2 linked regions of the Mus musculus genome follow. The protein of the gene in region 2 binds, or shares a complex with, the protein of the main gene of each other region. Links are inferred from orthologs where the notes say so. Each region holds a gene or a part of one and is shown on either strand. Other genes may lie near its edges.

What was found. Proteins that work in one complex are often made in the same cells at the same time.
Region 1: Snw1 (region 2) and Scnm1 share a complex: the UniProt entries of both Homo sapiens proteins name them as parts of the minor spliceosome. The link is inferred for Mus musculus from reciprocal best matches to the Homo sapiens genes SNW1 and SCNM1.

What each region holds. Positions count from the first base shown.
Region 1 is NC_000069.6:95,130,630-95,136,026, forward strand, and holds the start of Scnm1 (sodium channel modifier 1), read right to left. Parts: upstream 3,384-5,397; 5' UTR 3,267-3,383; coding exon 3,216-3,266; intron 3,000-3,215; coding exon 2,929-2,999; intron 2,660-2,928; coding exon 2,571-2,659; intron 2,483-2,570; coding exon 2,388-2,482; intron 2,285-2,387; coding exon 2,196-2,284; intron 1,398-2,195; coding exon of another isoform or gene 1,358-1,397; exon of another isoform or gene 1,177-1,357; intron 1-1,176. Other genes in the region: Lysmd1 (lysM and putative peptidoglycan-binding domain-containing protein 1), read left to right, coding at 4,188-4,367. UniProt on the Homo sapiens protein: As a component of the minor spliceosome, involved in the splicing of U12-type introns in pre-mRNAs. Plays a role in the regulation of primary cilia length and Hedgehog signaling.
Region 2 is NC_000078.6:87,458,800-87,463,458, forward strand, and holds part of Snw1 (SNW domain-containing protein 1), read right to left. Parts: intron 3,159-4,659; coding exon 3,063-3,158; intron 2,973-3,062; coding exon 2,866-2,972; intron 1,713-2,865; coding exon 1,608-1,712; intron 692-1,607; coding exon 622-691; intron 160-621; coding exon 94-159; intron 1-93. UniProt on the Homo sapiens protein: Involved in pre-mRNA splicing as component of the spliceosome. As a component of the minor spliceosome, involved in the splicing of U12-type introns in pre-mRNAs.

The DNA.
Region 1 (5,397 bases), on a different chromosome or scaffold from region 2:
TAAGATCTTAAATATTCTACATATGAAAGACCTTGGAGGGCTGGTGAGATGGCTCAGTGGGTAAAAGCACCCGACTGCTCTTCCAAAGGTCCGGAGTTCAAATCCCAGCAACCACATGGTGGCTCACAACCATCTGACTCCCTCTTCTAGAGTGTCTGAAGACAGCTACAGTGTACTTACATATAATAAATAAATAAATAAATAAATAAATCTTTAAAAAAAAAAAAAAAAAAGAAAGACCTTGGAATTAGGAACTTGAGAAAAGCTGGGGCTGGAGAGATGGCTCAGTGTTTAAGACCACTGGCTGTTTTTCCAGAGGATCTGGGTTCAATTTCCAGCACCCACATGCCAGCTCACAAATATCTGTAACTCCACCTCTCACACCCTCACGGACATATATGCAGGAAAAACACCAATGCACATAAAATAAAAAATAAAGGAGAAAAAAAGGAATTTGAGGAAAAACTAGCTTAATAGTTTGTAATGGCTATTCCTAGTTGTCAACTATGTCTGGAATGAACTAAATTCCAGAATTGGGGGGCACACCTGTGATCCAGATCTTGAGGCTGGAAGACTCAGGCTTCTGATCTGGATCTTGGCATGGAGATCTTGAGGCACAGTGGCTGTGAAAAGCTTAGGTCCAGGCAAGGTATAACATGCCTTTAATCCCAGGAGGCAAGGAGAACTCTGATTCAAAGTCAGCCTGGGACAAAGCAAGTCCCAGATCCAGGTGTGGTGTACACGCCTTAATGTAGGCCACACCTTCTGCTGGAGGCCTACATAAGACCACTGGAAGAAGGAAGACTCACTCTTCTTCCACTGCTTGCACTTACTTGCCAAGCACATCTTTAGAACCTATTTATACAAGACCAGCTGAAACAACCAGCCTTGTGGGACTGAGCAACTATTAGATTCTTAGACTTCTCATTCACAGCTGCCCATTGTTGTAACCCAACAACATGACTACAAACTGTAAGTCATTACAATAAATTACCTCAATATAGACAGATATTCCATAAGTTTTGTAACTTTCCATATTCCTTATGCTCTAATACATAGTTCTAAGAGTTTTTTGTTTGTTTGTTTGGTTGGTTGGTTGGTTTGGTTTGGTTTTTCGAGACAGGGTTTCTCTGTGTAGTCCTGGCTGTCCTGGAGCTCACTCTGTAGACCAGGCTGGCCTCAAACTCAGAAGTCTGCTTACCTCTGCCTCCCAAGTGCTGGGATTAAAGGCGTCGCCACCACTGCCCGGCTGGTTCTAAGTTTTTGTCTTAAGATTTTCCAAGGCCAGGCATGGAGTGCTCACCTTTAATCCCAACACTTGAGGGATAGAAGCAGGCAGATCTTTGTGAATATGAGGTCACCTTGGTCTAAATAGCAGGGTTTCAGGACAGCCAGGGCTACAAACAAACAAAAAGTACACCACCGTGCTCTACTAATGTTACAATTCTCTCTTTTTGAATGTATTTATTTATTGCACTTTTTAAAATATAGGAGTGCTCTGTCTGCATGTGTACCTACATGCCAGAAGAGATCCCTTTTGGATGGTTGTGAGCCACCATGTGGTTGCTAAGAATTGAACTCAGGACTTCTGGAAGAGCCCCCTGCGTTCCTAACCACTGAGGCATCTCACCAAGCCCTAATGTTCCTAATAAGTATGATTATTCTACAATTTTCCACTTGCTAAAAAATTTATTTTAAAATCATAAACCACCGGGCAGTGGTGGTGCACGCCTTTAATCCCAGCACTTGGGAGGCAGAGGTAAGCAGATTTCTGAGGCTAGCCTGGTCTACAGAGTGAGTTCCAGGACAGCCAGGGCTACACAGAGAAACCCTGTCTCAAAAAACAAACAAACAAAAAACCCAAAAAACAAAAAACCTGAAAAAATGATGGTTTACGATTTCTTTTATATATATGAGTACACTGTAGCTGTCTTCAGACACCCCAGAAGAGGGCGCCAGATCTCATTATGGATGGTTGTGAACCATCATGTGGTTGCTGGGAATTGAACTCAGGACCTCTGGAAGAGCAGTCAGTGCTCTTAACTGCTGAGCCATCTGTCCAGCCCCTACCATCATTTAAAAAAAATATTTCCACAAGATTATTATTTCTCAGAATACAATCTGGAGAGCAATAACTTTAAAGTCATCTATTTCCTTCTACCCTTTTCCACTCCTGGCTTTCCCATTCCACGGACCTGTGCTTCCTCCGGCAGCAACTGTTATAGTGGGGAGCTCTGTGTAGAGCATTCTGGGTGATGATTCGAGTCTGGGTTAGCAAAGGAGCCTGGTGATGAAGAGACAGAGTTAGAGCTGTTAGGAGCAAACGTTCCCTCAAGCCTGTTGTGTGAAGTATAGCCCTGTCTAAACCACACCTGATGCCCTCTCACCTCAGTTTTGCTTTCTGTCTTCAATTCGTTCTGCTGTCTTGGATTTTGCTCTGTTCCCTTGCCTGTTTGCTTTTTGCCATAGAAAAGCTTCAGACCTGAGAACAAAAGCAAGGAGGAATGAAAAGCACAATGCCTGGTGGCTTGCTCTCCATCTCCCGCCCTCCCCACTTCTCTGATACTTACTGGACAAATGCTTCTTGCCTGCACGGTGGGCTGTCAACATGGCCAGCGTGTCTAGTACTGGTCGATGGGGGCAGATGGCACAAGCAAAGCTAGGGAAACGAGAAGTGAATGATGTGTGTGGTGTGTGGTGTGTATGTTGTGTGTTCGAGAGCCTGCAGTCGGGGTGTTCTTGCTATGGTGAGTAGGTCCTACTTCTGTCAGAGTACTCCACCACCAACTCCCAGGTTTCCCGATCTCCACCCCTTACACTTCACTTCCAGCCAAAGAGTCCTATTATACTCCTGAACTCCTTAGTGACAAAAGTTTGTTGAGCCTTTGATCCCCGAATCCCCAGGCTTGATCCACTCTTCGCTCTCACCGTCCATCCCGCAGCATCAGTGCCTCGTCCTCAGGGATGTAACTAGCCAGCAGGTCCCCAACTCTCCGTTTCTGCAGGGAGCAGGATAGGAGAAATGAGTAAGAGGGACGGATGGAAATGAAATAGTATGGATAAGGAGTCAAATGGCACACGGGGCTATGCAGATCATAGGGTAGTAGGGGTCACCACTCAGTTCTGGTCCCCTAAGCCCTCCCCTAGATGTCGCCAGAGCAACAAAACAAAACAACAGGGCGGCTGAAGGTGATCAGACTCTCACTAAGGCTTACTTTGAGCACATTGAGTTGACTCCAGTCGTCCCCTTCCCTCTTAAAAGACATAGCGACTGTGAGACTACGATAAATTCCCCTACGCCTACTTCGCTGCTCCTTTAGGCCACCGTAGAAAGAGTACACTATCGCCTTCTCTGCTTCCGGTTTCTTTCTTGTTGAATCTGTACTTCCGGGGATGATGTTCCACGCTTGCGTCGCGCGAACCGGAAGACCCGCCTCCAGCGCCCTGAGGGGGCCTGCATTTCCTACAATACTTTGAGACGCTGTGCCTTTTGGGAAATGAAGTCTTTTGGTTATTTATTTTATTTTTTTATTTTTTTGAAGAGCACACTGCTCACCTGGACACAGGACCTCACATCTCGAAGGATCCAGGTGTTCGGAGACTCAAGATCCTGTATGTGGAGCCGGAATTTCAGGGTGGGACCTTCCTGATGTGGAGCGAGGCGTCAGGGATCTCAGTGGACTATATACTACAAACTCTTGCTGTCCTCAGGCTCGTACTCCTCAGCCACAACCTACCTGGGGTGGGCCTTATTTGGAACAGAGAGGATGTGGGAGCACCCGGCATCCCGACTGTTGGATGTGGGGATACACTGAGGGAAGAGTGTTGATGAGGGTGTCTAGGGTTCAAAGGTCAGAGATCAGGCTTGCGAGGAGTTGGGGAGGGGGCGTCGAAAGTCAACCGGGTCAGCGACTGACAGCTCAGGGAAGATACTTATGGGTAAGGAGCTCGTGGAAAGAGAAATGTAACCGGCCTGGCAGACTTCTTAAGAGACGGACAGTAACTCCAGGCACGGCAAGAAGCAGCAAGAGGAGGACGACGAATGTAGTCTCTCGAGAGTCGGGAGACTGTAGAGAGACGAGAGAAGAGAAAACGAATTATCTGAATATCCATTCCTTGGGTTCGGCCGTCACTGTTACTTAGCTGGGCTTCCCTCAGTTGTGACCCTAGGTCTTGACAGTGAGGAGATGGCTTCTCCCTCTAGACAGCCTCCCCTCGGGGGGTCAGGGCTGCTGCATGGGAGCCGTGCTCGTTCTTATGGAAGCCTGGTACAATCATCCTGCTCCCCAGTGAGGGAAAGACGCCTGGAGCATCAATTGGAGCCTGGAGACACCCTGGCTGGATTAGCACTCAAATACGGGGTAACGGTGAGTCTTCCAGAATTGAGATAGTCCCGAGAAAGTGGGTGGCCCGCTAAGATGCCCCCTCTCACATTATTTAAATTCTATTATGGTCTGTTTTTTTTCTTCCTTATTTTGCTTTCACATCTCAGCAGAGCACTGTTGGGACAGATCTGCCCAACTATCCCAGTGGGAGGAGCAACTCCTGTAGATGGTGAGGGAGGTGGGTGAGTGGGGGCGGGGCTTACAGCCATTAACTGGACTTGTGTCCCTATCAACTTAAGACTGATAAACCAGTTTGATCAAGGTCGAATCACTTAAGTGTCAGAGTAAGGTTTCTGTCTGACTCTAAAGCCGGTACTATTAGCCATGCGGGGGTGGGGTAGGGGTGGGGGTGGGGATGTAGAGACTGGTAAGGAAGAGCTGACTTTTACTAGCACTCTGAAGGTGCCCATTTGTAGTTCTTATTTCCACCCCAAGGCTCTGTTTTCTTTGTGCAGAGGCACAAAACAAGTCCCCTCTACATACTTCAAGTGTTTCAGGTCATCTTTAGGAGAGGTTTGATGGGCATAAAAAATATCTTGCATTAAAGTTGCAGCCTTCCTGTCTATATCCTGTTTTACCACATACAAACAAATGTTGGGTTTAGATAAATTCCTGTGCCACTCTACTTAAAGCATAAGGTAAGCCTTTCTGGAGACACAGCATACGTTTGTCGATGTGCTCATGGAATTTAAATTCTCATGAGGAGCAGAGAAGAAACAAGAAATGCTGTAAGGAATATCCACAAGGGGTCGGAGATCCAGAACTATTGAGTCTTGCTCGGAAGTGGGAGTGGATAGTATTTGATGTGGGGTTTTGTGTGTGTGTGTGTGTGGGGGGTGGATTTTCTAGACAGTGTGGCCTGGAACTTCCGGTGTTCTTGCATCATGACTGCTGAGATTAGGAGTGTGACAACCACACTCTGAGGTGCAGGCTTAGGAGTACCGTCACCACGGGCCTTGAAGACCTAGAAACTTTCCCCTCTGTTCCCACCTACAAATCTGTTCAACCCAGT
Region 2 (4,659 bases):
TAAGACTTCAAGGAATGTTCCCAGGCTCCGACTCCTTCCTGAGCAATCCCCAGGGACAGCCCCAGGAGACAGTGTGTGAATGAAGGTAATCACCTTAGCGTTCTTCCAGTTGGAAATACAAGGCGGGATCTTCCACTCTTGTTGTTCCTTTACAGTCATCTGAAAGCAGGTGAGAAGAGACGTGTTTATTACAGTCTAACTGGAAGCCCAAATACGACCCTCCCCACGGACATCTCTACATGCATCAACACAGGACGACAATTGCAGTAAAATCTCTGCTGGGGTGGACTATGGCGTGAACTGTAGTCACAGGAGCACTAATGTGAAGAAAGGAGAAGAGTTCAGATTATCAGAAATGTTAGACAGTACTTTTCCATACTTAGACATGGCTGACTGGGAGGAGTGGGGCAATATGGCAGCTTTCAGATGAAAACGGCAACTGTGCAACTCAAAAAGGATCTGTCCACTCCCTGACTTCAGAGCTCGAGCTGCTGCGGGTAAGCCAGCATGCTCCCACGGACTCATTCTCAGAAGCACACCGAACTATACTTTAGTCTTAACTGGGTCCATTTAGTTCGTAAAACTAGAATCACAAGTGAGACTTGACTATAGCAGGATTACCTTCCGACTAGGAGAGTGCATTACAGGTGCAGGAGGAGACGGTGGTCCCCGGGGAATTTTCTTATTAATCCTGAAGAATAAATTAGAGAGAAACAGTCAGAGCACAAGGCTTGCTTTTGTCAGCTGGTAAATACGGCCACTGTCACCACTCACCTCACAGTACAATGCACTCCCAGGTTGATAAAAGTGACCCACAATGAATTAAACATGACGCATACGACCCAGTCACCTGGGTAACAATCTAGACAGTGAGCATCCTCACCCCTCACCTTGTGCATGACCCAGATCTCTCCCCACCCACTTCTCCATGGGCAACCACTCGACTGTCTATAACTAAGTGTAAATTCACTTTCTAGAATTCTTTAAAATTAATTCATTTAATATCTGTGTGTGAGGTAGGTATGCATGTACCCTGGGAAGTGTGGACGTCAGAGAACAACTATCAAGGAGTGGGTTCATGTCTCATGCCATGTGAGTTCAAGGAACTGACCTCTAGTCATCGGATTGGCAGAAAGTGTCTTTAACCTCTGAGCCATCCAGCTGACACCATGGTCTAGAGTTTTATATATACACACAGAAACATAACATTGTATTATGTGTTTCTGTCTGGCTTCTTTCATGTAGTGTAATTATTTTCAGACTCATCTGAAAAGGCTTTTCTTGGCCTAATATTCCAGGTACTGATGTACCAATGTTTGCTTATCTATTTACCTGTTGATGAACATGTGGGACACTTTTCTTGTTTGATACTTAAAAATATAAATATATTTATGTAAGTACAGTGTAGCTGTCTTCAGATACACCAGAAGGTGGCATTGGATTTTAGATGGTTCTAAGACACCATGTGGCATAAGATTGCTGGGAATTGAACTTCAGACCTCTGGAAGAGCAGTCAGTGCTCTTAACCACTAAGCCATCTCTCCAGCTCCCTCTTGTTTGATACTTTAAAACAGCAGCAGTTCACTCTTGTGAAACAGTATACTTACTTGAATCTTGGAGGCTCCATTGGGTCTTTCTGCATTTCTACCATCCGAATGACCCTCTGTTTAGCTCCAGAATTGAATGCTACTCCTTGCTGAGATGGTGTGTAGCTAAAGAAAGTAGATTAAAATTAAAGGTGTAATTAGTTCAAGCTTTGTTGGTAGGTATTTGTCTTTTACTACAGTCCAAAGTGACCATACTTCCAACTCTGCAGAAAGTTCTGATATAAAATCACCACACATTTAGGCAGGGCAGCCAGATACAGACTAGAAAAGCAACAGAAACCGAGTCACAAACAAGATGTGCACTCGAGTGCTTAGTGACTTCCCTTCTCATCCTCTCCACATCCCACCTGGGAAGTACTCCTCCTCAGCTTCGCAGGTCGAAAGCACCTACTTTCTCTCCCCATTATGGGAAAAAAATTGCCAGGGCTAGAAAGATGGCTCTGCTGTTAACAGCACTGACTGTTCTTCCAGAGGACCCAGGTTCAATTCCCAATACCGATATCCAATCACACTGCCTGCAACTTCAATTCATGCGGATCCCTCTTTGTGGCCTTGCAGGGTACTGGGCATGCAGGCAAAACCCTACTAACTCCATGTTTTCCTTTTTGCTCTATTCCAAGCATTCCTCACACAGTCCACTGAAGGCCCTCAACATTTAGGAACATTATAAGTGTTTATTAAATATAAAAAAAAAAGATAAACAATTGTGGTTTGGGTCATATACAACAGGAAAGGGGCTTATTCTCTAAAAAGAAACAAACCCCTAAAAATCAAAACCATAACCATTTGAAGATCACAATGGTTAACACCTCTTTTTCTTGAGACAGGGTCTCATACCAAGTAATCTTGGCAGCCCTAAGACTTAAGAGATCCAAAGGACTTTTTTTTTTTTTTTTTTTTTTTTTAAGATTTATTTATTGTTATATGTAGGTACACTGTAGCTGTCTTCAGACACACCAGAAGAGGGCATCGGAGCATCGGATATCATTGCAGATGGTTGTGAGCCACCATGTGGTTGCTGGGATTTGAACTCAGGGCCTTTGGAAGAGCAGTCAGTGCTCTTACCCGCTGAGCCATCTCACCAGCCCCCCCAAAGGACTTTTCTTATGCATTTGCACCCACCCAGCTCTAACAGTTACCATCCAAACGTGTGTATGTTAAAGAACTTCTGCAAGCAGGAGTTAACAGGCTTTGTAGGCTGGGGAGAGTTATTGAAATCCCACCTATTGAGTCTGACATGCAACTAACTCTTCCATACCGGATATACTGAGCAGGAGCCAGCTTGTCAGCTGCACGAACTGGCATGGCTGCAGCAACCTTCTGCGACACAGATTTCTCCAAGGCAACTCTAGTCTTTTCTGTTATCTGAAACAAGAAGCACCATGTTGAGTGGTTTGGAAATTAGTAAGGACATAAAGTCATCTAAAATCATCACATGCATCAATTCCTCGTTACCTCTTTAATTGCCTCTTCATCGGGCCGTTGCAGGTCTGGGTCATCTGCATTCATAACCTCCTTAGGAACCAGGTCAGTGTATTTGCTGTAAATGACCTAGAGTCCAAACACAAGCAGGCTTAGGGATACAGAGAATGGAAAAGCAGCCTCATTAAGTCAAAGTCAGTCTAGATGTCAACACGTTCTTGTAGCATATTTTCACATTTAGGATACCTAGCTTTGTGGTTCAGATTTTAAAACTAAAATTGCTTAAAATACTCAAGTCAGTATCCAGATACATTCTGCCAATAAGATCTTGTGCGTTAGTGATCTCTAGTTGAGGCTCACTACAACTTGAAATTGATGACGATACGCATTGCCTATGGCTCCACTGTTTTCCTGTCTGTCTTTGTGAGAGACAACCTGACCAAACCCTCAGGGAGGAAAGGTTTACTTGGCTTACAATTCCAAGTCAGAGTCTATTGCTGAGAGAAGTCACGGCAGAACTCGCACTGCTAGTACTCACATCAGACCCAGTCAGAAGCAGAGACAATGACCCTCGCTGTTTGCTCCCATTTAGCCTTCTTTCCTTACACAGTACAGGAATCTCTCTGTCTAGGGACTGTGGTGCCTATAGTGGCCTGACTTCTACATGTGGCCAACTCCGTTTAGACAATTCCTCAACTGAGGCTCCCTTCCCAAGTGATTCTGGGGTTATAGCAAATTAACAAGACAAACGAATTATCCCAGTATATAACTTGTTCTATATTCAATTTTAGGATTACTTCATGAATTCTATCAGGACCAGCAAAGTTCCTAACTCACCCTCAAATAAGATAGGGCCACATATCAGACATACCCAAGTGCCTGGCTCAGAACATTCTACACAAGGTATTTATTTCCCAGAGTTGTAAACTGAAATGTTTAGCTTACTGTGTTGAAGAATGAAAAGGATTGGAAAAGAGAGAATTTAGCAGAGGTTTAACTGACACACGAGCCACCGCTAGCATCATGTTTTAAGCGTGTTTACTTCATAAGGAACCGAGAAGCACACAACAATGAGAAGAGTAAGGATCAGTACATGAGGACCACATAGCAGGAACCCACCTCAAAAGCCGGATTCCTTTTTAGGGTGTGAAAAATCTACCCCACCACAAACTGAAAATCTTCTAACACGGCAGAAGAGCACTGAGATTACCACCAAGAGTTGACCACTTTTACACGGCAGTCATCACAGGGAGCTCCTAAGTCAATGGCTTCCAAGTAGTCATGTTTGTTTGACATAGTCTCAATACTAATTTAGTACATAAGAGCCATTTTGTGCTTATTTGGGTATTCCAAAGTTAGCAGGAGTGAGATTCTAGCATCTTACAAGGCAGAGTGAGGGGCATCTGAGGAGCAGGATTCCTCTGTGATAATTGACTATGAAGTCTGGCATCCTACAGCCTGAAAACCTAATGTGCCGGAGAAACTCGGCATATCTCAGTACGCAACATGGCTGGGAGGAGTCCTCGGAAAACTACTCAGAAGGTAGGAGCATAGAGATTTACTCATTAGAGAAAAGCAGGCCCGGGTATGGATATAGCTTCTGGCCTCTACAGGCACAGGCATATTCACA